Rattus norvegicus: one gene and its partners. The protein of the gene in region 6 binds, or shares a complex with, the protein of the main gene of each other region. Links are inferred from orthologs where the notes say so. Each region holds a gene or a part of one and is shown on either strand. Other genes may lie near its edges. The genes, in order: Smarce1, Smarca4, Smarcc1, Dpf3, Smarcc2, Smarcd3 and Arid1a.

Region 1 (4,300 bases), on a different chromosome or scaffold from region 6:
CTTTCCTACCATTCCTTAATCCCACAGTTGCTAAAGCAGGGACGTAACAAGGCTGGAGTTACTGGGCAGACAGAGGAAGAAGACACTGGATCCCTGACGTAACTGTGTGGATCCTACATTCATCTTCTCTATGCTTTTTGTGTTTTAAAAAAAAAAAAAAAAACATTTTCAGATACATTTCCTTATGCTATTCACTCATCTGGAAAACTCTCCTTTAGCCTTTCCTTTCAATACACTTTTATTTCATTAATTTCATCTCACCAGAATGAAAATATTGGACAATGGAAGAACTGAACAATATTATCATTTATTCCTGGCTCTGCAGACTTCTAAAGATACCTCACGAGGATAAGGGCCAAGAGGTAGTCCCAGAATTCAACCAGTTTCTCTAGATGCTAACACTGTCCTTAGATAACCACAGACGGTCTGCTCATTTTTTCCTCCACCATGACGTGACCCACACTAGCCAACTTCTTATGGTCCGCCAAATACTTGTAATTTGTAAAAAAAAAAAAAAAAAAAAAAAAAAAAAAAGCCCTGGAATAGTCCAGAAAGGTGGCTACACACACACTTACTGAGCACCTAATTACAAGTCTAGCCCTTCGAAATCATTGGTAATTATGAAATTGTCCAGTCCAGATGCCTGAAATTTGGTTTTCAAGACTCTCCAAGATTGCAGATGGCCCAATCCCATCAAGAGGGTTTCAACAGGCCCTGGAAAAGTTCTAGGAGGGCATCACAAAGAAACATTGAGCTGACTATTTAAAGACAAGCGAGGGTGAGCTGAATTAGCCCTCCTGGTAAGAGATGTGAATTGTCACAGGTATGCAAGCTGGAAAGAGTGAGCTGACATATGAGGACCCTAGGCTCTGAAACCTGTCGCCATCATTCAACCTCTAGAAGCATCTGGAAAAACTACAAAACTCCCGTGTTGCTTTTCGCTTAGGTGGAGGCAGGGAGCCCTGCCGAGCGCCAGCAAGGACCAAAACGCGGGGATCCGGGTCCTCCCCGCCTACATTCTCCATCCTCCATCCACACGTCCATCAGCGGAGTACAGAGGATCAGAGCGAAGGGGAACGCCAGGGTTTGGGGTGTGCGGGAGCTGCGACCCGCCCTCTCCCGGGAGAGGCTCCAGCGAGCCTTCCCCCAGCGCTTGCCTCACGCAGCGGAACCCACCGCCTCAGTGAAGCCGGGGTACGCAGTCTGCGCAGTTCCTGCCGCCGGGCCGCGAACCAGGGCCCGCAACGCGGCCCAACCTTCTCCGCCCTCCTCGCCGTGACGAATCGGCGCCCGGCTGGGACAGGATCCAAATTGAAAGACTTCTGAGGGATCCGAGGAGCCTGAAAAAAAAAATCTTTGGCGCACTAAACCTTGCCGCGTCTTCACTGGAAGGGCTGTTCGTCGGAGGAGGGCCGGCCGCAGCCCGCAGAAAATTCCCCGGAGCGTGTGGAAAGTGCGAGCGCGGAAGCTCCGGCGCGAGGGGCGGGGCGAGCGCGGGACAAAGGGAAGCGAAGCCGGAGCTGCGGGCGCCTTCTCGGCCCGCGGGTGAGTGTTTCCCAGTGGGCCCGACCCGGTCGGGGAGGGTGGTGAGCTGTGGTGTTTCGGCTTGGCGGGACCCCGAGTTCCCGCGGGGTGCTGGGGTTCGGCCTCGGCTGCGAGGCGGGAGCTAGAGCCGGTGCGGCCTCTGAGAGGCCTAGCGGCGGTGGGGGAGCCCCATCCGGGACAGCTTCTCGGAGGCGCCACTAGTCCCTTTATGCTGGACTCCGGACGCTGGCCGAGCACCCATGCACAACCCTCTGCGGGGGAGTTTCCAGAAAAGCTCACCCTCCGCCCGCCACAAACTCAAAGGAAAGGATCTCGGGAAGCCCAATGGGCAAGGCTAGCGGGGGTCCTCACCCAGGAAGGTGGTTCCCATTTTGGTGGGTGGGGGGTGGGGCTCAAGTAGCGGCCTAAAGACACCCGGGGTGGCTTGGATGAAGTCTGAGACGGTGTGGGTTGGGTTTAAACCCACCTCTGGCATTTCTGGGCCTATGGCCTTAGACACTTAATCGCCCCGGGACTGTTTTTTTCCTTTGTAAAATGGGGACAGGCCATACGTATCTGGTAGGGTCGTTGTGACTAGTGAACAAGACTGTTAAAAGCCTGACCCGTAAGGTAATTAATTCAACAAATACTGAGTTGCATGCCAGGCACTATGGTTAGATCCACTCTCTACTAGAGTTTGTAGCCCAGGAGAGCAATCATTTGTAAGTATTAGCAGTGAAGTGTAAGGTGCCAGGGACCCTGTCACAGTTTCTGTCGGGGCTCCCCACAGCAAGGCCTACTGGGTGTTGATGGAAGTAAAAGAGATGGGTTGAAAAAAAATTAGCAATTAACACATCAAAAACTCTTAACCCTGATGGTTTGAGGCACTTCCTTTAAATGAAAACTAGAAGAAAGAAAAAAATGTATTCACCATCTTTCTAAAAATAAATTTTCATCTCTTTATGCATTACCATTTGTGGTCTGTGTTGAGAAAGGAGCAAGCTCAGATAATGTCCGTGTTTTGAGCTGGTAATACTAGGACCCAATTTATGAAGAATCGAGCTACGTTTGAGTAATAGGTTAGACCATCCCTCCTCTCTTGCAAGACAGAACCCAGCCACATTCACATGTTGTGTGAGGGAAAATGCCACTGATCTTTAGTAAGCCCTGTAGGAACGCAGAGACAAGGCAATTAGTTCTGTCCAGATAATTCACCAGAGAGGACCTGAGGTAATTTCTGAAATGGACAGTAAAGGAACAACAGGTGTCCTGTCAGTAACCTGAGAAAATTGTTCCAGCTCTTAGGGAACTATTTACCAACAAAAGAGAATGTAAAGTTTGTTAGCATGAGTTATCTTTCTTTCACACTGCCTCCAGGAATAAGACGTTGCTCTGTTTCGATAAAAGAGGCCCCCTCGATAGGGCAGAGCTTCTGATCAGGGGTTATTGGTCAGTATCTGGTAGGCCTTGTTGGGGTCACCCTGATAATACATCACATTCTATTGTCATTATTTTTTTTTTATCAGTCTTAAGTAATCGTTCGCATGGCATCAGCAAAATGTTTTCCATACAAGACGTGGCTCTCAATGTCATAAGCAAAAACCTAAAAAAAATCCATCTCTGATAGAACTCTAAATTTCCCAGTAATTCATTTTCATCACTTAATTCTGATCAATCAAATGAATATAAGGACTAGTTAAAATATGCAAAAAGGCTTGATTACTAGCAATTAACAGTGAAGTAATTTTGCTCAGAAATACCAAACTACCCTATTCTTTAGGAAAACATTCTCTTATGCTTGCTGAGTTTTGATTCTCTTTTTTTTTCTTTTTTTTCTTTTTTTTTATTTTAGTGTCTCAGATTCATTCTTAAGGAACTGAGAACTTAATCTTCCAAAATGTCAAGTAAGTTTCAATTTTTATATTTATCAATCTGTATTAATACGAGACTAATGCCCTAGCAAATGGGAATTCCAAAATACTCTCATTTTTTTTTCTTCAAAGCAGGACCATTGGTAGTTTTGTTGCATAGTATTATATCTCAGTTGTTTACAAGAAGTTATTTATTTTCTTTCAAACAGAAAGACCATCTTATGCCCCACCTCCCACCCCAGCTCCTGCAACAGTAAGTTTTAATTTTCTTGTTAATGTAATAGCCAAGTCTGGCCTTGATACAAAAACCCAGATGTCTTCCACTGACAGTCACTCAGTCTTCACAGCCACAGCATAGAAAATTCAGCTAAAAATCAGCACTTCCTACTAAATAAAATAACTCCTTTCATCCTTACCTTGAACCAAACCCAACATTTAAAATTACATGCTATGAACTCCCCACCTCCTGTGCTCTCTTTTCTCCTAGCAGGAAATCAGTGAGACACTCCTTTCTAGCCTTTCCCCTGGTAAAGGGCCTCGCAGCTGACAGTGAGTCAGTGCTCATCCTGCTGTTGGTTATTCCTTTATTTGTTGTTTTTAAACCTAACCTTCAACCGGTTACATTTTTCTCTCACTGTAAGTAAGGGCTGGGGTAGCTCAGTGACAGCACTCACCTAGCATTCGCAAGGCCCTAGGTTGGAACCCCAGCAGCACAAATTTTTTAATTAAACTTTCTTATCTGTGTATAAAATTTTCACATTAAATAAAGTGTCTTGTTCTAAGGATAACTACACTCATAAATCTTATTTTCAAGCTGCTCAAGTAAGGGTTTCATTACCCATGGGTCAGATCTCGTTTCTAAATTTTGTTCAGGTTGGTTTGCCAACTGCTCTGCTTAAAGGTGT
Region 2 (3,500 bases), on a different chromosome or scaffold from region 6:
TGGCCTACATACATGGAGAGTATTCAGTCTGCCAAGCAGCTCTCCTGTCCTGAGGCCTTGGTCTTCCTCTTAGGACTGGCTGGGAGTAATGTCAGCATTTGTCTGGGCCCACAGAGGCTGGGGTGTAAGAAGATGTAGTTGAAGACAGCAGGAGGGTTTACCATAGTGGCGCTGTCAGTTGCTCCTCTTCCCTGCAGGGTTGCTCCTGTGTTTGCTTCCTACCCCTGTAGGCTTCCTAGTTTAGGTTGTGTTCCCTATCCACAAATGAGGAAGGCGCTCCTTCACACGCCTCTCTCATTCCTCTGCCTGGGTTGTCCTTGTACTCTGCTTCTGAGACACCTCCATCTCTGGCTTCCCAGTTCCCGAACTATTCTGTCATCTTAGAGCACTTATCTTGCTCCTTTCTCCCTATAAAGGAAGCTCTGGGTCACATGTATGAGCCCACTGTCTGGTTTACAGGGTCCTCCATGTGCCACAAACTACATCTCTTTTCCCTGTGCTCCTTATCCTAGCATTGCTCACACATGCTACTGCCCATTGGACACCTACCATGTATCTAGAAATCTATGTCCTGGAGTCCTGGTGGGTAACACCTCACCGAACCTCTTCTACGCTGTAGGCAACCCTGTTGCTCAGCATAAACAATCTTGGGGAGCCTGCACAGAGTAGTGGCCCCACAGGAAGCTGCCCTCATGCCCCGTCTCAGCTTCCTTTGTTACAGCTATACTAAGTGTGGCTTTGGTATCACTCTCCTTCATCACATGCTGGCCTGTGAGTTTTTGCTGAGCACAGTGCTCGATAACCAGTCCTAGCTGACAGAAGGGTCTTAGGTATTAATCTCTCCCAGTGGCCGCGCTAGCCGTTTCCCTGGGAGGCATGCCTACTCCCACAGGTGCCATATGGCAGCATCCTGCTAACATTGTGCTGTCTCAGTGGTGGGACAGTTCTGCATCCTTCCTTCCTAAGCTGGCAGCTGCTGAGGCCTTGAGGACAGTGGGGAGTCTCACTGTAGTCCAGTCTAAATATGCAGCAGACCTTTTTGTAGTTTGCTTGATTTATAGTCTCCAAGGGTGAGGGCTTCAGCCCTAGGTTTGCAGCAAGTCTCCTTGGCACAAAGTGCAAGAGACCAGGACATCTTTCTTTGTGGTTCTCACTGGCTTGAAAGACAGCTCCATGCCTCCACTGCCTAAGTAGTTACCTTTTCCAGTAGCTTGGTTTTGTGTCTGTCCTGACACCCAGAAGGTGAGTGTGCCTCAGAGCTAGCCCTCTGGCCCCCTTGGGTGGACCTCTGTGGTCTTCTTTCTCAGCTTTGCCTCTTGAGCTTTGCGCAGCTGCCTCTTGTCCTTGGCTGACCTGTCTCCTTGTACATCTTACAGCCTATGGAGTCCATGCACGAGAAGGGCATGCCTGATGACCCACGATACAACCAAATGAAAGGGATGGGCATGCGATCAGGGGCCCACACAGGTATGGGACCTCCGCCTAGTCCCATGGACCAGCATTCTCAAGGTACAGTTTGGGCTGGTTTTTGTTTCATGTTCATGTGCCTGGAGCTCAGAATCTGCTTTCTTTAGTGGAGATTTCAAGGACAGCTAGTACAACTGAGCTATGGGTTGGCCTCCCTGGTGACGTGTGGCTAGTTCTCTATATAGCCCTCTTGCCTTGGAGCAGTCTCGAATACTGAACAGGTGGGACAGAAATGATTGGTTAGCATGTTGTTTGAGGTCAGGGATTAGCATGATGGAGCTGGGGCTAGCAACTCCAGTGGTGCCTTAGGCCACTGCTTTAGGCAAGATGGCTTTTCTACATGGGGATGATTGATACTGTAGATGACTTGTTGAGTCCCCCCGTCACTAGGGGCAGTAAGTAAGGTACTGGGTCCTAGGATTCATAGGAATGACAATGGAGAAGTTGACCTGGACAGAGGGCAGGCTTGATGGGGCCTGGTTTGCAGTTTTTACCTTTTGAATTGATTAACTGTACCCCACTGAAGCATGTATCCAAGCTCATTAGCTTGTGTCATGACCACATTAGCTGCTGGGCTGAGGCTCTCAGTCAGCCACCTACCTCTGGGTGCTTCTTGTTTGACTCAGGAGAATGATGTTGCCTAGTTACCTCTCCAGGGATGCCAGGTAATGTGATGTGATTTAGCTGTTATAGATGCATGCTGCTGAGTGACCACTGAACTAGTCTTTCCCTGCAGGTTACCCCTCACCCTTAGGTGGCTCTGAACATGCCTCCAGTCCTGTCCCGGCCAGCGGCCCATCTTCAGGCCCTCAGATGTCCTCTGGGCCAGGAGGGGCCCCACTAGATGGTTCTGACCCCCAGGCCTTGGGGCAGCAAAACAGAGGCCCAACCCCATTTAACCAGAACCAGCTGCATCAACTCAGAGCTCAGATAATGGCCTATAAGATGTTGGCCAGGGGCCAGCCATTGCCCGACCACCTGCAGATGGCCGTTCAAGGCAAGCGGCCGATGCCTGGAATGCAGCAGCAGATGCCAACACTACCTCCACCTTCAGTGTCTGCCACAGGACCTGGACCCGGCCCTGGCCCTGGCCCTGGCCCAGGTCCAGGACCAGCCCCTCCGAATTACAGTAGACCCCATGGTAAGACCTATATCCCTGCCGCTGGAGTGGGGAGAATGCTTAATGTGTATGATAATAGCAGGCAACCCTGGCTCCCAGCTAGTGGTACCTAGGACTGCTGTGATGGGTGGGGGGTGGGCGGTTATGTCTACCTAAATGCCATTTATTCATCACTCTGGCCAATAATTATTGTGGTGGGTGGGTATGTTCCCTGAGCTGATATGAGAGTAGGCCAGCAGCTTTGAACATAGTTGTATTTATGGTGCTTTCTTTCCTTTAATATAGGTATGGGAGGGCCCAACATGCCTCCTCCAGGACCCTCAGGTGTGCCCCCCGGGATGCCTGGTCAGCCTCCTGGAGGGCCTCCCAAGCCATGGCCTGAAGGTAAGTTTCTTTTCTATTGGTGACATGCTCTACTTCTTGTCATGAACCTGAACTATGCAGGACTCCAGAAGTTAGGCTACAGTTTTTTGTTTTGTTTTGTTTTTTTGTTTGTTTGTTCGTTCGTTTTGGGTTTTTTGTTTTGTTATTTTAAGATTTATTTATTTATCATATATTCGTCACTTCAGACACACCAGAAGAGGGCATCGGATCTCATTAAAGATGGTTGTTGTAAGTCCCCATGTGGTTGCTAGAATTTGAACTCAGGACCTCTGGAAGAGCAGTCCATGCTCTTAACCACTGAGCCATCTCTCCAGCCCTAGGCTACAGTTTTTCACCCTAGAAACCTCAGATTTTTCGGTGGAATTCTCTGGGGTTCAGCTGGGGTCCACAGGGTACTTCTTATCTTCCTTGTCCTATGGGTAGGAATCCTGCAGTCTCCTGCAGGGGATGTGTCTACTATGGGACTCAAGGTGATGGCTGGTTATAGCTGTGACTACAGGCAAGCTTACTCAGGATAAGGGGCTCCTGA
Region 3 (3,500 bases), on a different chromosome or scaffold from region 6:
CAGGAAATCATGCCACCAGAGAGAAGTAACAGTAGCAAGCCCTAAAAGGTTGACAAGTTATTTCATTTGTTATATTTTCTTACTATTTATTTTATGTATTTAATCATATAGATTCAGGTTTTCGTTTTTGTTTTGAAGGTTTTTACGACTTTTTACCAAAACTCTAATAAATTTTATGACTCATTCTATTCTGTCCTGTCAATCTTTTACTGCTAGCCTCAATTTTTATTAAAAATCCATTGTCTTGTAGACCTTAGTGTGTTTGTATGGGTAGATGATGATGTGTATGTGGAAGGCAGGGCAACATTGGAGTCTGTTCTCTTCTAACATCTTGTGGGTTACTAAACAGTGACTTCGTCTCTCAGCCTTCTCACTTGCCCCTTTTTATTGTTTGTGTCTCTTTCTTTCCTCCCTTTCTTTCTGTCTGTCTTTCTGCCCATCTTTTCATTCTCTCACGTTGATTTTCTTTGTATCATGTTGGTCTTACACATAATTTACTCAAATTTTTATTTCATTTTAATAATGTTACAAATATTTTTCCACTTTAAAATTGTTCATTGCGGGCTGGAGAGATGGCTCAGTGGTTAAGAACACTGACTGCTCTTCCAGAGGTCCTGAGTTCAATTCCCAGCAACCACATGGTGGCTCACAACCATCTGTAATGAGATCTGATGTCCTCCTCTTGTGTGTCTGACACCTACAGTGAACTCAAAAATAAAATAAATCTTTTTTAAAAAAGTTATTCATTGCTATGAGAGGAATATAAGCATTGTTCTTGCTTTCTCTTACGCTTTTAGCCCATCTGATATTGTCGTGGTAATCTTCAGCCACCATCTCAGAGTAGATTCTTTGAAAGTTTTCATGTAAAGAGTAGTGATCCAGTTTAAACGAATATTGTAATGTTCAGGTATTTCATTATTGTTTTGTTGCCTGATTGACAACTTATTATAAGGGTCACTGCCAGATTACCTTTTACCTTAATGTAGAAATAATTATTTATATTACTAGTTTGAAATAGGATCTTGTCCACTCTGTTATCTTCAAATCTTGTCTCAGTTTACAGACAGTTGGGGTTGAAGGGCATGCGCCACCATAACTACTAGATCACTACCCAAATTTTTTTAGAATTCTGTCTGCAGAATCTTAGCAAGGTTGGGTTTGCATGCCTAGCACTCTTGAGCCTGTGAACCAGGGTTAGTAGAAGTTGAAGACCAGCCTGTATCACATAGTGAGATCCTGTCACACAGAAGGGGGAAAAAGGGCACTGGCTTCATTTTTCTTCCCTTCTATTTTCCTTCCTTGTTATTTGATGCTATCACCCTTTTGTTTCTGTGTTCACTTAGGCTCTGGAGATGTACAAGGATGATTGGAATAAAGTCTCGGAACATGTTGGAAGCCGTACTCAGGATGAATGCATCCTCCACTTTTTGAGGCTTCCCATTGAGGACCCATACCTTGAAAATTCAGATGCTTCTCTTGGGCCACTAGCTTACCAGCCTGTCCCTTTCAGCCAGTCAGGAAACCCCGTGATGAGTACTGTTGCCTTTTTAGCATCCGTGGTTGACCCTCGAGTAGCATCAGCTGCAGCCAAAGCAGCTTTGGGTATGTACTTCCTGTGAAAGCTACCTCTCCAGCACTAAAGTCTGACTTTATATTCAAATATGATTAGCCATGAACTTAACATTTGCCTCAGTTATATAAAGTGTATGCTGTGCAAGCATGAGGGCCTGAGTCAGATCTCCAAAGCCTGTGTAAAAGCTAGAAGCTCTAGTATATGCTTATAGCATCTATACTGGGAGACAGAATAGATGGTCTCACAAGTCATCCTGACAGGGATAGTAACTCAGAGATAAGGTGGAGGGAGAACTGATAGAATCTTTGTTGATGTCAACTGGATTAAACCAGCAGACTTAAACCCAGGCACAAGCTCACCCCCACACATACATACAAATGCTTTTAAGAATATCAGCTGTGTTAATACACATTTCTCTCTTATAAGTCACACAACAAAAACTAAAGATAATGTGCTTCATCAAAATGTAGAAAATAATTTGTAAGGACTTTGTTTTTCTTTCACTTTTAAAAATCTATTTTGTGTGTGTGAGAGAGGGAGGGGAGGGGGAGAGGGATGGAGGGAGGGAGAGAGGGAAAGAGAGAGAGGGAAGATCACTTACCATGATATATCTCTGAAGGTCAGGATTAGCAGTGCAAGGGTGAGCTTTGTCCTACTACGTGTGCCTCATGAATTGAATTGTCAGCCTGGCCACAAATGTCCATTCTGGCTGAGCCATGTTGCTGGCCCATAGAATATTTGTGGATTTAGAAGAACAGCTAGATAATTTGGCATAACCTGTGAAATTGCAGCTTTTTAGAGGAAGAGACAAAAGAATCAGGAGTTTAAAGTTCAGCGTGGACTATTGTGGATCTTGTCTCAACCAACATACATGTACATACACACTCGTGTATAAAGGAAAGTAAGTGTTTTATGACATTAGGATATTGGTAGAGATATAGCATGGAAGCTACTTAATTTATTTTCAATAACTTAATTTCACCCAGGCATCTTTTATATTGTAGGATTTACATTTTTAAGGTTGTTTGATCCTTGCTGTTTTTATAGTTACCAGTCTTGCCAGCAGAGTGGTGAAATCAGGACTGAAATTTTACTTGTTTCTAATAGATTTTTAAACAACTTTTCAAAGTATAATAAAGAAGGCACTATTATGTTTTGGATAATAACCTAGGGAAGTGATTGGATTGATTCATTTTATATTTTCCCTAGTGTGCTCACTGTATAAACTGATGTTACTTTGTCACACTAGGATCAAATATCTATGCAAAATTAAGATATTGTCTTTGTGATCTTGACTCAGAGGAGTTTTCTCGTGTCCGAGAAGAAGTACCCCTGGAATTGGTGGAAGCGCATGTCAAGAAAGTACAGGAAGCTGCAAGAGCCTCTGGGAAGGTGGATCCTACCTACGGCCTGGAGAGCAGCTGCATTGCAGGCACCGGGCCCGATGAGCCGGAGAAGCTTGGTGCGTCACTAATGAGTACAGCATTCGCTTTAGAGATGCTTATATTCCTGTCAGTGTGCAAAATCACGGGCTTTGCTTACACACAAGCAATCAAAACAATATAATGTGCCTCTACATTTTATTATATATATTTTTCTCACATTCTTGTGAGGTGGACAAGGGGGACGTGGTACAGAGAAAGCAAGAGCTAAAAACAGTGCCTGATAACCAAACAGTATCAGTTCCTCAGTATGTATGGGTGTGAGTGTGAGTGTGTGTGCCATAGGTGTAGTATGTATGGGTGTATGTGTGTGAGTGTGTGTGCCATAGGTGTAGTATGTATGGGTGTGTGTGTGTGAGAGAGAGAGAGTATGTGTGTGTGAGTGTGTGCGTGCCATAGGTATAGTATGAATGGGTGTGTGAGTGTGTGTGTGCCATAGGTATAGTATGTATGGGTGTGTGAGTGTGTGTGTGTGTGTGTGTGTG
Region 4 (4,292 bases), on a different chromosome or scaffold from region 6:
AGGGAGCACTATCACACCTGGTTCTCTTTACAGTGCATCAAAAACAGCTTCCTAATCGTGAGACTCTGTAATGAGAAGAGAGGGTGGGGGAGAACATCACCCTACTAGGCAAACAAAGAGTTAAATATTTCCAGTCTGCACACACGGACTCACTCAGCTTTGCTGGGCTTATCTGTAACTCTAATAGTGAATGGAGTTGGAATCTGAAAGTTCCGAACTGCTTTGTGATTGTATTTTACTTTATTCATGGAGAGTCGTAAAAGGCGAGAGCAGGTGGAATTGTGAACTGCAATTCAGCATCTCTCGGTTTCCTTTTCACTCTCCAGCTCTCTGCTATTTGACCTGATTAAACAGCCAGGGGATAGCCAGACTTCTATATGCTAACGATAGAGTCTCTGGACTCTATGTGATTTCGTGCGTTTTCGCCCAGTCTGAGTCTCCCTGTGCTCCGTGGAAGCCTGAGTTCGCAGAAGTCTTAGTTTCTTCAGGGGTTCACCAGACTCTAAGCAGCCGAAGACTGGGGAAGCCTCCAGTCACGTCTGAACATTCACTTGCAGATTCTTTTCACCTCCTATCTTAGTCCAGAAAGGTGACGCCTGGATTCGCAGAGCCATTCCCGGAGGGGACTCTAGCAACACCTACAATTGTCAGGCTCTAACAATTTCTGCCTAGTTACTGGCTTCCCTAGCTGCGTTTCCTAAAGTTGCCTCAAATCTTCCCCAGCCTTCTGCCTAAAAGGTGCCAGGTCTCACTTCGTTCCCAAGCTGGTCGTGTCAGATCTTCGAAATCGTCGACAGTGGAGAACGGTGGTCGTAGGGGACCGTGCAGAGTGACCACCTGTGAATTACGTAACAAAAAACCATGGCTGAGACATTCCAGGGGGAAGGGAGTTGCTGCCCTGGACTCTCCCGTTCTCAGAAACCGACCGAGGAAGGTGGGTGAGATAAAGAAAACACTTCGGGAACAAGAAAATTGAACAGCGGCAGAACCCAGAGCATTTTTAGCAAAGAGTGGAGCACAGTAGTAATTTCTTGGAGGAAACTGCAGCCTTCCAACTTTTTGCACTTGTAACACAGTGGTGTACCCGAGACTCGGGGGTTAAAACCGTGATATACAAAGCCCAAAGCTAATGAATGGGATTCAGCATTTTTGTTGGCATTATGTAAATATTCTTGTCCAGGAGCGCAAACTCTGCGGTTATTTAGTAAAGTAGGGACTCAAACTAAGCGAGATTGCTCTCCCATGTATCTCCACTAGTCCCTATTTGAAAGGGCGCTACTAACACGGTACTGCCCCTTTAAGACCTGCTCGCTCTCGGGCTCTACAAAAGGGAGTGACCTCTGGGCTTTGACAGCTCCCCTAATAACTACCACCACGCAGGCTCCGCCCACTTGGCGACCAGCCGCGCCGATTGGCCGGCAGACCGGTATCCCGTGCTCTGATTGGCCTGCCGCTTCCCCTGAGCGAACCTTTAGAACTCTGAGACAGACAATATTCTGTTACATTGTAGCAAAATGGCGACTGTCATTCACAACCCCCTGAAAGCGTAAGTAAGACTAAAAAATGTACATATTCCGCGTGGTTTCAATATGAAAAAAAGGCGCCTTGCGGAGCGCAGCCGGCGCTCGGCTCTCGCAGACGCCTCCCGCTGCGCCCGGGCTCCTCTTTTCTTCCTGCTCTTACTTCTTCATCTTTTTTCCTCCCAGCGCGCAGAAATGTCAGGAGATGCAATTAACAAAAAGAAAATTGTTAAATTTGTGTTCTGCTTAATTGGCTGACCCGGACCGGGAGGGAGCACAGAGCGCCGGCGCCGGCTCCGGAGCTGCGGGGGTCGTGTGCAGCTCGGGTCTTCACGGTCCCCGGAGTCCCCTGCCTCTCCCGGCGCCGCGCGGGGCTGGCTGAGTCCGGCCGGAGCGCGGGGCAGGGGCCGCGTCCTGCGCTCTGCTATGCCCTGCGCTCCAAGCCGGAGCTTCCCCGGCCCCGCTGCTTGTCCACCGGGGCGGGCAGACCGACCGCAGCGGCTGCGGAGTTTTGCAGGGCGTTCGCTCTGCCTTCCGAGCTCTCCCAGGGAGTTTGTGTAAACCTTCCGGAGTTGGGAGGACGGCGCGCGGAGCGGCGGGTCCCGGGAGTCCTGGGGCCCAGGTGCTTGCCCCGGGCTTTTCCACTCCGGCAGCCGGGGATCAGGCGGGCGCTCCGGGCGGTCGCCGGTGTGTCTGTGTATTTGTAGGCTAACTGGCTCTAGTAAATTAACGATCTGGGTTAACTTGAGGTTGATATGGAGACGGGGAAACTGCAGGTCTTATTAATGGTGTGCTCGCCTGCTCTGGGTGAAAAGCTGAGGCGGCGGAGGCGGCGGTGTAGGGCTCTGGCGACAGCGAGGGGCAGGTGCCTCCCGGAGACTTTGAGCGGACAGAGGGGGGCGGGCTGCGCAAGGACTCGCGGGGGCCGGTTCCGATCGGAGCTGCCTGCCTGCCCGTCTTCCTTCCTTCCTTCCTTCCTTCCTTCCTTCCTTCCTTCCTTCCTTCCTTCCTTCCTTCCTTCCAGTCGGTGGACTGAATATGAAGCCGCCAAGTCTGCGGGTGATCGTGGAGCTGGGGGTGGCCTGGGAAAACTAGTGTGGCTCTCAAGGGGCGCTATTGGCAGGGATGTTGGCAGAGGGTGGATCCTTGGGAATCGCGGCGCGGCGTGGGCACCGGGTGGGTGCCGAGTGTACTAGGACTTCACGCCCTGATGAAAGCCTCTGGGAATCGGAGGGTGCGCGTGGGTGTTTAGTACCAATTCTTCCCGGTCTGTGTCAGTGGTCGATCTTGGCTTTTAACTGCGCGCTACAGCGTCCTAAGCCCTGGCTCCGGGAGTCGAAAACACCGTTCGCTTTGGGGAGCAGCAGGGCGGCGGCGAGTGTGTGTGTGTGTGTGTGTGTGTGTGTGTGTGTGTGTGTGTGTGTGTGTGATTCCTAGTGCCAAGAAACGCGTAGGGAGAACCCGCTGCGTTTGCACCAGCCAACAACCAGGAATAGGGCAGGGATGTCCCAGATCTCGGAGTTTCCACGAGATACTGCGGTAAAGACAGGGGCTGAGCTTGATGCGAGTTCCTGGCTCCGGTTCCCGCTCGGAAGCTCAGCTACTTTGCACTCGCGACAGCGTTTAACCTGAGAGGGGAAAAAAATGTTTTATGGCAGAATAAATGGGCGTAACTTCGCCGCGTCCTCGCCGACTCCCGCCACCACACCGCTGGTGCCGTGAGTTTCTCCAAAACCCACACAGCTGATTTGCAATTTCCTCATTTCCAGTCGAAATCACGTAGCAGAGCTGATGCTGCTTGGTAAACTCAGGTCTGAGAGATCTATTTGCTATGTGTACGGGGTTCCTCATTGGGAAAGCGGCATCCTTGGTGCCCGGGAGCGGGCTTACGCTCGGGCGCGCGCAGGAGCTCCACGCTCCAGGGTTCCCCAGATCTTTTCACTTTTTTTTTTTGACACAGAAGCGTGCGTGTATTGGAAATTGTGGGGAGAAGGAACAGAGAAGCTAGAAGGTGGTCAATCTCGGTTGATAGAATTAGTTCTGAATTATCCTTGTATCCCTTAATAATTGGAAACACTTGCCGTGGGATGCATTTGTAACTCCGTCTTGGCTCACGCACAGGGGCGCTCACCCACAACACCCCTGCCTGCCCTTTCCTCAGAGGAAGTCCAGTGGTCACTTATAATTAGCCATCCCCTTTTGTATCCCATCCTCTTCCCCTGAGGACTAAGGGTGTAAACAATAACCCCAATCAGCCAAGCTTTTTGCACCCTGGACATTTTCAAAACTCCGCACGCAGGAGCACACACACATCGTTACTGGGAGACCGAGGCCATCTGCTTTTATCATTATTATTATTATTTTAAAAACAACTTGTTTAATAAAACATCCTATACATTTCATTTGTTTTTAGAAGTTGCTGACCAGGAAACAAAACACACGTGAATAAATTATGCATGGGCTAAATTAGAACAAAGCAGAGCAACGCATCCAGCCGAAGGGATGGATGGGGGCGCAGGGAGGAGGAGGAAGAGTGAGGGGAATGGTTTGGAGAGCTTACGTGTTTATCCTTGTGTGCCCCTCCTGACAATGAGGGAGCTCCAAGCCACATTAGCATTTTCTCCGTGTGCAAGCGCTCTCTCTCGTCTTAAAAAGGCAACATCACGGACGCCCCCTACAGAAACTGGTCACAGAAAGATTTCCTCTTGAGCCTGGGGATAAGTAGCAGTAGTAACGGTGTTGGGAAGAAGCCAGCTCAGGTTTCTTTCATGC
Region 5 (3,500 bases), on a different chromosome or scaffold from region 6:
CATAATTTGTCTTGAAATATATTTTATTGATGAGAAGTATAATCAAACACCTATCAGGGTGGAGATGTAGCTCAGTCAGTAAAGTATTTTTTGCAGAGGACTGAAGTTCTGATCAATCCTCAGAACCCATGTAAGAAGCCAGGCACAGTGGCCCAGACTGGCCCAAACTGGTAATCCCAATGCTGGGGAAGCAGGGAAGAAGAGACCCCTCAGGGCTCCTGGCCAGCCAGACTAGCCTAACCTTCAAGTCCCAGGTCTCAGAACACAAGGCAGAGGGTTGGCACGATGGCACAGTGCATACAAGTACTCGCTGCCAATCCCTGGAACCCACATAGTGGAAGGAGAAACCAACTCCCACAAGTTGTCCATGACCTCCACATGTACACTGTGGCGAGCACACACACACACACACACACACACACATACACACCAATATACAACTAAATGTTAAAAACACAAGGTAGAGGCTGGCCAACACATACAAATACGTACAAAAACAGATTTGGAGGTTGGGGTACAGCATTTGCTAGTACACAGGAGTTCCTAGGTTCAATTCTCAGCACAGAAAGACAAAGTTGGTGGACAACTGTAGGTCCATAGGAGACATGGATATAAAGCAAGAGTCCTTTGGGGGGCTGGGCACAGCAGGAATGGGAGAGGGTAGGGACTGGCCTGGGAGCTCGGCCTGGCTCATACCTGTTTTGGGGAGTGTCACCTCTTCCACATTTGGGACTGGAGAGGGCTCATCCATGTCTTTTGTCAGGTCTTCTTGCTCCTCCTCTCTGTGCCCTCGCTTTGACTTGGTGTAAGGTGTGGAGGGTCTGGGAAGGGAAAGAGTTATCCTTGGAAATTAGAGGCATTTATAAGAAGGAAAAAGAGAAAACAGTATATGCAGAGTAAAGGGGGTAGTGCAGAAGACTTTCTGTTGGGTGACTAAGCTTTCTTTCAGTTTACTGATAACCAGGACTAAAACCATCAAGCAGGTACATGAGGGTCCCCTCACCCTCCTCTCAGACAACCAGCCAGGGGCCAGTGACTTCAAAAACCATTGTCTTTCCTTGGACAGCATGTGTGGGCACAGGAGAGGTAGCATACCCTTTCTTAGCATTTTTCTTCTTAGCTTCTGGGGTTGGCGAAGGAGAGGGAGAGCGTTTCCTCTTCTTATAGTTCCCCCCCTTCTTGTCCCGTCTGTCTGCATCCGGGCTGTTTACCTGCACAACGGGGAGTGGGATGAACGACAGTTGGCCCTTCAGTTCCCAGTGAGGCATGTCTCAGGTGTAAGCTCAGGCTTCTGACAAGAAGGAGCTCACCTCATCTGTCAGCGTCTTGGCTGAGATCTTCTTTCTGCGGGAGACTGGGCTTTTGTCGTCACTAACTTCATAGTCTTCCTCATTCATCCACTCATTGAACGTGTCAGTGTCGAGGATCCACTTTGCATGGACCTGAAGCACAGGACAGACAGCCCACATCAGAGTTACTAGAAGCCACATTTCTGTCTAGAAACTCTTACACAGAGTTCCTGCTCCCCCAACACAGAGGTCTGGTCCTGGGTGTTCTAGCAGTGGAGGGTACCAGGAAAGCTCACCTTCCTAGGTTTCTCAGGAGTGGGAGCGTCCTCCACAGATGCTTCAATTTCACTGGCTGGGATCCACGTGTCATAGCTGCCAGAAGAGATTCAGCAGGAGGTGGGGACGGAGGTGAAATGCAGGAACAAAGCGCAGCCTTGCATGCCTCTCAGTGCAGACATGGGCCCTGGTCTTTCTCCTACTAGCAGCCTCCACCACTGACTCACATACCCAGCCTTGCCTTTCCATTTACAAAAAACATTCAACTGTTCATCTGTCCAATTAAATCAGGATTCTTTTTGCCACAAGGCAATGAGAGCATATCATAAAATATTTCAAGCTGGTAGATGTGGTGACTTATGTCTACAATCTCTACATTCAGGAGGTTGGGAAAATTGATGCAAGTTCAAGGCTAGCCTCAACTATAGAGAGAATTTAAGGCTGGCCTGGTCAGTGTAGTGGGAGCTTGTCTCATAATAAAAGTGTAAAAGAGGGGTAGAGGTGGCTCAGTGGTAGAGTGCTTGGCGAGCTCAGACAGGCTCTTGAACCCATGAAACTATCCAGGCTTGGTGACGTACGACTGTGACCCCAGCACTCTCAAGGCTGAAGCAGGGTCTTGTGTCCGACTGAAGCAGCCTCACAGACAGTGAGACCATCTTAAAAACCAAACTAGCAAACCACTCAACCAACAAATCAAATACAGGAGGACAAAAAGGCTTTCCAAAAAGTATGAAAACAATCTAGCATAGACTATGGGAAGCTGAAGCAGGATCCCTTAAGTCTAAGGTCAGAGTGTGTCACGCGGTGAGACCTGGGCATCGGGGTAAGCTATAACCAACCATGCATTCAAAAGTAATTACAACTACATTACACTTAACACTTATTTCCCTCCCTGAAAGCCATGCTATGTCTCACAAAGAGCTTATAGATCCTAGGTTCCTGTTTCTACCTTCTGGGGAGCTGGGGCTAGAGCTGAAGCTGGACCTGTAGGTGTGAACCTCCTTTTCTCACTTAAATTTGCCTATAAAGTAACTGTATTCTGTCACTTTAAAGGTTGCATAATAACCCAGGCTAATTGTATACATTTGTGGAAACATTTTCCTACTACTATACTGTTTTTTTTTTTTGTTTTGTTTTTTGCTTTTTTTTTTGTTCTTTTTTTCGGAGCTGGGGACCGAACCCAGGGCCTTGCGCTTCCTAGGCAAGCGCTCTACCACTGAGCTAAATCCCCAACCACTACTATACTGTTTTAACTTTTGTTTTAAGATACAACTTCACATAGCTTAGGCTGGCCCTAACACACACACACACACACACACACACACACACACACACACACCCCACACGAAAAAGAAGGCCAGGTGTGGAAGAGCAATCCTCTAATCTCAGCATTCAGGAGGAAGAACCTGGTGCATCTTTGTGAGTTTAAAGTCAGTTTGGTCTATAGACCAAGTCAGGCTAGCCACAGATCTACATGAGACCCTGTCTTAAGTATGTATGTATGTATGTGTGTATACATGCATGCATGTATGCATGCATTGCATGCATAATAAAGAGGAACATGAAACTGAACTGGAGAATGACCAGTCCGTGGGCATAAGGACCTGTATTCTGCTCCCAGAACCTACATAAAGTTGCTGGGCATGGGCTGAGATGTCTCAGCAGTTACGAGCGACTGCTGCTCTGGCAGAGCCTGGGGTCAGTTCCCAGCACCTACGTCATGACTCACAATTACCTGTAACGCTTGTTCAAGAGGATCTGTAGGCACCCTCTTCTGACCTCTGCAGACACCAGGCCCTTATGCGGTACTACATATACATACATGTGGGCACTCACACATAAACTAACAAAAAAAGCAACCAAGAAACAAACTAACAACGCTGGGCTCTGCTTGCAGCTCCAGGGCTTCAGGCGCCCCAATTCTCTATGGCCATC
Region 6 (3,500 bases):
CCAGGAAGAGGAGGAAGCCCTGGAGGGGCTGGAGGTGATGGATGTTTTCCTCCGGTTCTCAGGGCTCCACCTCTTTCGAGCCGTAGAGCCAGGGCTGGTACAGAAGTTCTCCCTGAGGGACTGCAGCCCCCGGCTCAGTGAGGAACTGTACCACCGTTGTCGCCTCAGCAACTTGGAGGGGCTGGGTGCCCGTACCCAGCTAGCTATGGCTCTGTTTGAGCAGGAGCAGGCCAACAGCACTTAGCTTCTCCACCCCTGGGTCTGCCATAGCCCCAGGAAGGGCAAGGCAAGGCAATGGACAGATGGAGGGCTTGCCGCTGTATTTTTTTAAAAATAAGAAATGTTATTAAAAGTATCTTCTGCCAAACTGTTTTTAGGTCTAGGGAGAGGGCTAAGAAGAATCTGTAGGAGGGTCATGGAGAGTTTGTCTGCCAGGTTCCACTGCCTTCCCCTCTCTTCTTCCCTCCCATCCCAATCCACAATGACCACAAGGCTGCTGTCTGATGAGTGACCTTTAATCCAGCCCTCCCCAACCCCAGCACAGCACGGGAGAGGGAGTCCAGAGCCCAGGGTCCATGCTGGGCAGCGAGGCTGGTCCACAGTGATGCGTGTTCACAGGCTCCTAGGTGTTGCGCACAACTAGTGACTGCTCCAGCTCCTGCCTGCGCTGCTGGATCTTTAGAGGAAGCGTGAGCAGGGGCAGGGTTACAATGACCCTGGTGAGTGACCAGGGGCACCCCCTCCTGGCACCCCTTCCCTGGAAGAGTCTGGGAGCCAGGAGACTACTGCATGGGGGTGTAGGGTGGTGGACAGGCGTTGGGCATAGGCAGCAGCAAAGACTGTTGCCAGGTGAGAGGCAAGGCCTCTCTTAGGACTGAAGGAGAAGGAAGCCTCATGTTCCAGGGCCTCCATTACCTTACAGTAGAAGTAGCGGCTGACAGCTTCCTGGGACCAGGGCTGGTGGTAGAACTCAGCCCGGCGCTCTTCCTCGGGGTTACCGGCCACATCTGTCATCACCTGGGAGGGAGCACGGGGCCTGCGGTGAGTTCCAAGTGCCTCACCTGCCCGAGTTGCATGCTCCTCTTCCCCTCCCTGTGTGCTTGTCTTCACATCAGTGACCCCTGAGCCCCGTCTTCACCTTGAGATCACGGCTCTGGGAGCGGAGCAGGTCTTGGACGTAGCCTTTGGGGTCTCTGGAGAAACTTAGCATGAAGTCCCTCTGGATCTTGAGCTGATTTATGGACTCAATGGTCTCATGGATCTACAGGTAGAAAGACAATGATCTCCCCTGGCCCTCCCCTGATGTGGGGGAGGAATGCAAGAGGAAGGAGGAGGCAGGGGGGACTAGCTTCTCTTGTGAAGGGCAGTTTCCCAGAGCCCTTGCTCTCTCTGAGTTCAGTGAGGGGAGCGGGGTGGGCAGAGCTGAACTTGGAGTGAAGTCAGCTTCTCGATAGCAGGGAGGGGCTGTGTGTGCCTCGTGTCCCAGGGCCATGCTGTGGTCTGAGTGCTTTGTCCTCTCTCTCGGTTTAACATCCCACTCTATCTCTGGGTTCAGGCCGCACCTTACTGTCCAGAGCACTGATCTCCTGCTGGTTGGCGGTGGACAGGAGAAAGCTGCTCATCTGCCCCTTCAGTGGTTCCTCCACCTCCACATCAATGTCATAGCACGCGGTCTTCTTCTGGTCTGATGGGTCCACGCTGCCAGAGAAGCCCAGCCTTTGATGTCCATGGTATACCCCCACGGAAGCCCAGGGCTGGGGAGGGGACACAGGGAGGGGAGCAGGGAGGGGAGCAGAGAGCTCCCTCTGTGGGGAAGGCTGGGCCACCTCACCTGATGACATGGTTGATCACAATGGGGTCAGGAGGAAGCAGCAGGCCTGTGAGACGCTGGGGAATCTCAGAAAACTTCAGGCGGGGACAGTCAAAAATCTGAAGCAGGAGAGTTGAGAGGGAGATCATTCGTGTGTGTGTGTGTGTGTGTGTGTGTGTGTGTGTGTGTGTGTGTGTAAAGACAGTAGCTAATAATAGTCCTTCCATTCTGGAAAGACCACAAGAAGCTGAGGGCAAGTCAGAATTCTGGGCGCTGATGGCTGTGGGCTGGGCTGGAGGTAGAGAAGCAGGATAATTAGGGGGCCAGTGTGGGGTCCTAAGTCAGCCTGCTTGAGCGTTTGTCCCTTCTGCCACATCCTGTGAGAAGTTACCTAGCACCTTGGGTCTTAGTGCCTTCACTTCCAGAATAGGGATATTACCAACCCCATCTCATGGGTGGTTATGAGAACCGGGTGAATCTGCAGAGCAGGAAGTGTCTGAAGTGGTACATGGTAAATGCTCAATAAACACCAGCTACTCTTTCTCCTCAGACTCCTCTACTGTGCTTATTTTAAAACATATTAATAGCAATGCTCTACTCTGCTAGACCTGTCGGGTCAGCTTTCAGCAATGTCGTTTTTCCTAGCTGCCAAACACATGTGATGGCACACCTCCCACCACCCCTCATTTCAGAAGCAGACCAAGAGGCAGAAGGGATAGCAAAGTAAGTGACCCCAAGTCTAGACCCAAGACTGGCGGCACCTCAGAGATCCCAGCTCCAAGTACCAAGAAGGTTACATTGCAGGATGCTGTGCCCTCCCCTCCCCTAGTAGGGCCCCACATTTGCTTCCCTTGGGGTGCAGCTGAATAGATCATCCAGGAAGAGCCTGGACAAGACCCTGTTCTTGGCTCCAAGGCCATGGCCCTAACCATTCCTGTTATTCAGGAACTCAGCAAAAGGAGATAGCTACCTTAGGGAGGTGCTTCTGCTAGGATACCATCCCTGATCCCCAGATCCTGAGGCTAAGGACATGTTACCTGCTGGAAATACTTGTCTCCATTGATGTATTCCTTGTCATGGGAGTCCTGTAGCCTGTTGGTCTTCACGTACTGCCACAGTGCCTGGACAATGGCTGAGCGGCTCTGCGTATGCAACCCCAGCAGCCGGGCCAAGCGGGGGTCCAGTTTGAACTGGGGAGGCTGGGAAAAGGTTACCAGGAAAATGAGATTGAGGGGAGAAATAGAGAATGGGGCGTGGAGGTTAGGGTCCTTGGCAGCATGCCCCTAGAGAAAGTGAGTAGGAAGGAGAGTAGGGTCTGTGTGTGGCATGCAGGCACGGAGTAAAACCAACCTGATAGTCCAGCATCAGGAGCAGGGTACAGCGCACACTCAAGTCCCCTGGTCTCTTCACTTGGAACCCATCTGTCTCCTGGGTTGTGGGTGTCCGGTGCCACTGTCCAGGGGGAAGAGCTAGGTCACCCACAGACTCATCTGGGTTGGTAGAGCCTAGGGCTTTAGGATGGTCCTCAATCCAAATCTGCAGCTGCTCCAGGGCTGATGGGAAGGTTGTGATTCACGGGCAGCGGCAATCTGTCTTACCTCAACAAGGTGGTTGTCTGGGCCATAAAGGTCTTTGTCCAACTCAATGACCAAACTCTTGAAGAAGGAAGAAAACTTCCTCTTCTGCTTAC
Region 7 (4,300 bases), on a different chromosome or scaffold from region 6:
AGATAAACCTGGCCTTAGGGTCTCTGGTAAACTTCAAGGAGTCTTACACCTTAGGAGAGACAGCAGATCTGAGGGGCATCCGTTTTGTGTGACCTATTAGGCTCTGCTTTTTCTCTCTTTAAAGAGGAAATGGTTTCCATTTTCTGCATCCCTCTTTTGCAGTGGTTTTTGAACACTGAGGTTCTTCCAGTCCCTGGAGCCTTTTCTGTGGGCTTGTTTACATCTTCAAGGTACTTTTGGAGATTGGGGCTACTGGCCATTGTGAGCTAGGTTCCCTTAGGAAGTGCTAATGGAGCTTGGTTTGCCTGGAGGACTGTCTTAAGCCCCCAAAGCATCAGTAGCCACCATTTTAAGAGAAGTGGTGGGATGACCACGTTCGATTTCAAACCTCCTGACACTGATCCTGTTGTTGGATTTGTTCACAACGTAAGTGCCTCTCTTTTCTCCTTTCCTCCTTTTCTCAGGCTAAGTAGACAAGATGCAGCTTTGGCGACTCCACTTTTTATAGCTACACTCTTCTGCCCTCTGACTTTAAGTGACCTGGGCAGTCCTCTCTCTCTTCTGTCTGTTGGTAAAATGGGGGATAATCCAGACCTCATGCCCCCAAGGCCTTGTCAGGGAGGGCTAATGAGGGCAGGGCATGGAGAACCGATAGTTTGAACAATGGTCAGTCCTCCTTTGGGGCTAGCCAAAGGGGGCAAAAAGCAGGGCTCACTCAGCTGGGTCTCAAGAGCAGGTCTGCAAAAGGCTTTGAAGAAGAAAAGTGCTGCGGAGGTGCTAAGTCGCAGCCAAGAGACCAGGCCCTGTGCCAGGGGGTCAGGTCCCGGCCGCTGCGGCCGCGGTTTCGGGCTCAGGCCAATTTTGCAGGCGCGGGTAAAGTTCACGCGGCCCGCTCCCTTCAGATCGGCCAGGAGGGGACAGGCCAGGATGGGAACGCCGCGAGAGAGGCGGCGCAGGCTCCGGAGGCGCGGGCTCCGGGCCGGGTTTTCCCCGAAGCCTTCGGCGGCGGCGCTGCCGAGCGAAAGAGGCTGAGGGCTTGCCGCCGCCGCGGCTCGTTCTCTCCCCTCCTCCTTTGTGAGGGGAAGGGAGCGAGTCCATTCCACGGCCTGCGCCCGCTCCGCGCTCCACTCCGGGTTTTTCAGGCGGCCGCGACGGCGCTGGGTAAAATGGCAGTGCTGAGCCTCGTGTCGGAGTGAGGGGGACTCGGAGGAGAGTGGGGCGCTCTAGCTGCTCAGTCCCGCCGCCCGCCCGCCCGCCCGCCCGCCCGCTCGTTCGCTCGCCTGCCGCCGCCGCGCAGCAGCCTCGGCCCGAGCCGCGGCCGGGGAGGCGAGGCAGGGCGCCCGCCGGAGCAGCGCTCCTACTCTGCCTCCCGGCGCCCCGTCCGCCGCCGCGCGCCCTCCAGCCCGCCCGTCCCGGGTCCCCCCTCCCCCCCGCTCCCTCCCTCCTTTCCCGCCCCCTCCCCCTCGCCTCCCTCCCTCCCTCCCTCCTCCTTTCTCCGGCAGCAGAAAGCGGAGAGTCACAGCGGGGCCAGGCCCTGGGGAGCGGAGCCTCCACCGCCCCCCTCATTCCCAGGCAAGGGCTTGGGGGGAATGAGCCGGGAGAGCCGGGTCCCGAGCCGACAGAGCCGGGAGCAGCTGAGCCGCCGGCGCCTCGGCTGCCGCCGCCGCCTCCTCCTCCTCCTCCGCCGCCAGCCCGGAGCCTGAGCCGGCGGGGCGGGGGGGAGAGGAGCGAGCGCAGCGCAGCAGCGGAGCCCCGCGAGGCCCGCCCGGGCGGGTGGGGAGGGCAGCCCGGGGGACTCGGCCCCGGGGCGGGGTGGGAGGGGGGAGAAGACGAAGACAGGGCCGGGTCTCTCCGCGGACGAGACAGCGGGGATCATGGCCGCGCAGGTCGCCCCCGCCGCCGCCAGCAGCCTGGGCAACCCGCCGCCGCCGCCCTCGGAGCTGAAGAAAGCCGAGCAGCAACAGCGGGAGGAGGCGGGGGGCGAGGCGGCGGCGGCAGCGGCCGAGCGCGGGGAAATGAAGGCAGCCGCCGGGCAGGAAAGCGAGGGCCCCGCTGTGGGGCCGCCGCAGCCGCTGGGAAAGGAGCTGCAGGACGGGGCCGAGAGCAATGGGGGTGGCGGCGGCGGCGGAGCCGGCAGCGGCGGCGGGCCCGGCGCGGAGCCGGACCTGAAGAACTCGAACGGGAACGCGGGCCCTAGGCCCGCCCTGAACAATAACCTCACGGAGCCGCCCGGCGGCGGCGGCGGCAGCAGCGACGGGGTGGGGGCGCCTCCTCACTCAGCCGCGGCCGCCCTGCCGCCCCCAGCCTACGGCTTCGGGCAACCCTACGGCCGGAGCCCGTCTGCCGTCGCCGCCGCGGCGGCCGCCGTCTTCCACCAACAACATGGCGGACAACAAAGCCCTGGCCTGGCAGCGCTGCAGAGCGGCGGTGGCGGGGGCCTGGAGCCCTACGCCGGGCCCCAGCAGAACTCGCACGACCACGGCTTCCCCAACCACCAGTACAACTCCTACTACCCCAACCGCAGCGCCTACCCCCCGCCTCCCCAGGCCTACGCGCTGAGCTCCCCGAGAGGTGGCACTCCGGGCTCCGGCGCGGCGGCCGCGGGCTCCAAGCCGCCTCCCTCCTCCAGCGCCTCTGCCTCCTCGTCGTCTTCGTCCTTCGCTCCGCAGCGCTTCGGGGCCATGGGGGGAGGCGGCCCCTCAGCGGCCGGCGGGGGAACTCCCCAGCCCACCGCCACCCCCACCCTCAACCAACTGCTCACGTCGCCCAGCTCGGCCCGGGGCTACCAGGGCTACCCCGGGGGCGACTACGGCGGCGGGCCCCAGGACGGGGGCGCGGGCAAGGGCCCGGCGGACATGGCCTCGCAGTGCTGGGGGGCTGCTGCTGCGGCGGCGGCGGCAGCGGCCGCCTCGGGAGGGGCCCAACAAAGGAGCCACCACGCGCCCATGAGCCCCGGGAGCAGCGGCGGCGGGGGGCAGCCGCTCGCCCGGACCCCTCAGGTACACAGCTGAGTGGGGAGGGGGCTGGGGCGAGCGGGGCAGGGGGGTGGGTGGCGGCTGTGGGGAGCAGGCCCCGGCCGTGGGCTCCCCTCAGGCTTGGGCCCCCACTGCCGGGGAGCTGCCATTGTCTGGCTCTTCTCTCTTAAAATGGCTGCCTGTCTGCCTTCCTCTCCTTCCCTCGATCAGCCTTTGTGTGGGGCTTTTCCAGAGGTGTCTGTCCGGTTTCTCCTCCTCCGCTGGTCCTTTCGAACTCTGGGGGTCTCCAGGGGGGTGCAGAGCAAAGTGTGCCTGGAAGGGCCAGGCCCGAGTGAGGGGGTGCTGGGGGTTCAGGTTAGGGGTGTAGGCAGTGTCAGGAACCCGGGAGAAAGAAGCAACATTTTCTTGCTCACCTGCCGTTCCTCTGTCCCCCTTGCCTTCCTCTAGGCAGTTCCCCAATATATGCTTTTAAAGAGTGGCCCCTAGGGCTCGGGGGACCTCGGGGGAGAGCTGGGGCCTGCTTGGGGGCAGCTTGAGGCCGACTGTGGTTCGCTCTGGGCCGCCCGGGCCACCTCTTTCCTTAGTCTCCGCCGGCCCAGTGGCCTGGGCTTCTCTCTGGAAGTGCTGGTAAACAGCTGAGTGATTGGAGTAGTAAGTGCAGATTGCTTTGGTTTGGGATTTGAATTATGGAGGTAAAATCCTTCTGTCAAAGCCAGGAGACAGTTGGTCTTAGGTTGACATCCTATCTGTGATCTGATTGGCTCCCCATCTTCTGCTCTTGGCCATTTATAATTGCCTCTGATGTAATGGTACAACAATCCTGATGAGCTCATAAACTTTTACACTCTGCTTTTCTGCCAGTGATAACCCAAACCATCGATGCCACCACTATCCGCCTTTTATTCCAGAGCTGAAATTGGCTGTGACCTTGAGGAGGGAGGTTTAAGCAGCAATACTGTATCAGCAGGAGCAGAGTCCCAGACAGGCTGCCCTTGTTACATTGTGCCTGAAACAAAAGAGGAGGCGATGGCATTTTGCTTGCACCTTGGATTTATTTTGCTTGTTATGTTTTATGCAGTCTGAAATAGATTCTGTGTTGCTGGAACAGTAGCTGAGTTTTTCCTCTACAATGGGTTTGCTGTTTGTTTTCGTTTTGTGACTTTCCTGATGGTATAAATGAGTTCTTTGATAGCTCTGAAGATACATTTGTCTCGAGTAGTTTTTGACACTGTGTTCAGCTACAGAACTGAAATTATTTTACTGGCTTTTTTTTTTTTAAATTAAAAGGCAAATGTGAGATCTGTAGGGGGAGAAGATGGTTTTGT

The links.
Region 1: Smarcd3 (region 6) and Smarce1 share a complex: the UniProt entries of both Homo sapiens proteins name them as parts of the BAF complex. The link is inferred for Rattus norvegicus from reciprocal best matches to the Homo sapiens genes SMARCD3 and SMARCE1.
Region 2: Smarcd3 (region 6) and Smarca4 share a complex: the UniProt entries of both Homo sapiens proteins name them as parts of the BAF complex. The link is inferred for Rattus norvegicus from reciprocal best matches to the Homo sapiens genes SMARCD3 and SMARCA4.
Region 3: Smarcd3 (region 6) and Smarcc1 share a complex: the UniProt entries of both Homo sapiens proteins name them as parts of the BAF complex. The link is inferred for Rattus norvegicus from reciprocal best matches to the Homo sapiens genes SMARCD3 and SMARCC1.
Region 4: Smarcd3 (region 6) and Dpf3 share a complex: the UniProt entries of both Homo sapiens proteins name them as parts of the BAF complex. The link is inferred for Rattus norvegicus from reciprocal best matches to the Homo sapiens genes SMARCD3 and DPF3.
Region 5: Smarcd3 (region 6) and Smarcc2 share a complex: the UniProt entries of both Homo sapiens proteins name them as parts of the BAF complex. The link is inferred for Rattus norvegicus from reciprocal best matches to the Homo sapiens genes SMARCD3 and SMARCC2.
Region 7: Smarcd3 (region 6) and Arid1a share a complex: the UniProt entries of both Homo sapiens proteins name them as parts of the neuron-specific chromatin remodeling complex. The link is inferred for Rattus norvegicus from reciprocal best matches to the Homo sapiens genes SMARCD3 and ARID1A.

The regions. Positions count from the first base shown.
Region 1 is NC_086028.1:84,673,374-84,677,673, reverse strand, and holds the start of Smarce1 (SWI/SNF-related matrix-associated actin-dependent regulator of chromatin subfamily E member 1), read left to right. Parts: upstream 1-1,500; 5' UTR 1,501-1,545; intron 1,546-3,376; 5' UTR 3,377-3,421; coding exon 3,422-3,428; intron 3,429-3,604; coding exon 3,605-3,648; intron 3,649-4,300. UniProt on the Homo sapiens protein: Involved in transcriptional activation and repression of select genes by chromatin remodeling (alteration of DNA-nucleosome topology).
Region 2 is NC_086026.1:28,460,819-28,464,318, forward strand, and holds part of Smarca4 (transcription activator BRG1), read left to right. Parts: intron 1-1,376; coding exon 1,377-1,509; intron 1,510-2,203; coding exon 2,204-2,608; intron 2,609-2,872; coding exon 2,873-2,971; intron 2,972-3,500. UniProt on the Homo sapiens protein: ATPase involved in transcriptional activation and repression of select genes by chromatin remodeling (alteration of DNA-nucleosome topology).
Region 3 is NC_086026.1:119,048,556-119,052,055, forward strand, and holds part of Smarcc1 (SWI/SNF complex subunit SMARCC1), read left to right. Parts: intron 1-1,343; coding exon 1,344-1,602; intron 1,603-2,873; coding exon 2,874-3,035; intron 3,036-3,500. UniProt on the Homo sapiens protein: Involved in transcriptional activation and repression of select genes by chromatin remodeling (alteration of DNA-nucleosome topology).
Region 4 is NC_086024.1:108,853,826-108,858,117, reverse strand, and holds the start of Dpf3 (zinc finger protein DPF3), read left to right. Parts: upstream 1-1,492; 5' UTR 1,493-1,514; coding exon 1,515-1,546; intron 1,547-4,292. UniProt on the Homo sapiens protein: Belongs to the neuron-specific chromatin remodeling complex (nBAF complex).
Region 5 is NC_086025.1:1,473,003-1,476,502, reverse strand, and holds part of Smarcc2 (SWI/SNF related, matrix associated, actin dependent regulator of chromatin, subfamily c, member 2), read right to left. Parts: intron 1,662-3,500; coding exon 1,586-1,661; intron 1,443-1,585; coding exon 1,311-1,442; intron 1,212-1,310; coding exon 1,096-1,211; intron 822-1,095; coding exon 697-821; intron 1-696. UniProt on the Homo sapiens protein: Involved in transcriptional activation and repression of select genes by chromatin remodeling (alteration of DNA-nucleosome topology).
Region 6 is NC_086022.1:11,469,776-11,473,275, reverse strand, and holds the end of Smarcd3 (SWI/SNF-related matrix-associated actin-dependent regulator of chromatin subfamily D member 3), read right to left. Parts: coding exon 3,409-3,500; intron 3,263-3,408; coding exon 3,161-3,262; intron 3,010-3,160; coding exon 2,848-3,009; intron 2,360-2,847; exon of another isoform or gene 1,930-2,359; coding exon 1,832-1,929; exon of another isoform or gene 1,699-1,831; coding exon 1,563-1,698; exon of another isoform or gene 1,262-1,562; coding exon 1,139-1,261; exon of another isoform or gene 1,018-1,138; coding exon 916-1,017; exon of another isoform or gene 677-915; coding exon 623-676; 3' UTR 495-622; downstream 1-494. Other genes in the region: Chpf2 (chondroitin sulfate glucuronyltransferase precursor), read left to right, coding at 1-244. UniProt on the Homo sapiens protein: Involved in transcriptional activation and repression of select genes by chromatin remodeling (alteration of DNA-nucleosome topology).
Region 7 is NC_086023.1:151,262,587-151,266,886, reverse strand, and holds the start of Arid1a (AT-rich interactive domain-containing protein 1A), read left to right. Parts: upstream 1-1,500; 5' UTR 1,501-1,874; coding exon 1,875-2,999; intron 3,000-4,300. UniProt on the Homo sapiens protein: Involved in transcriptional activation and repression of select genes by chromatin remodeling (alteration of DNA-nucleosome topology).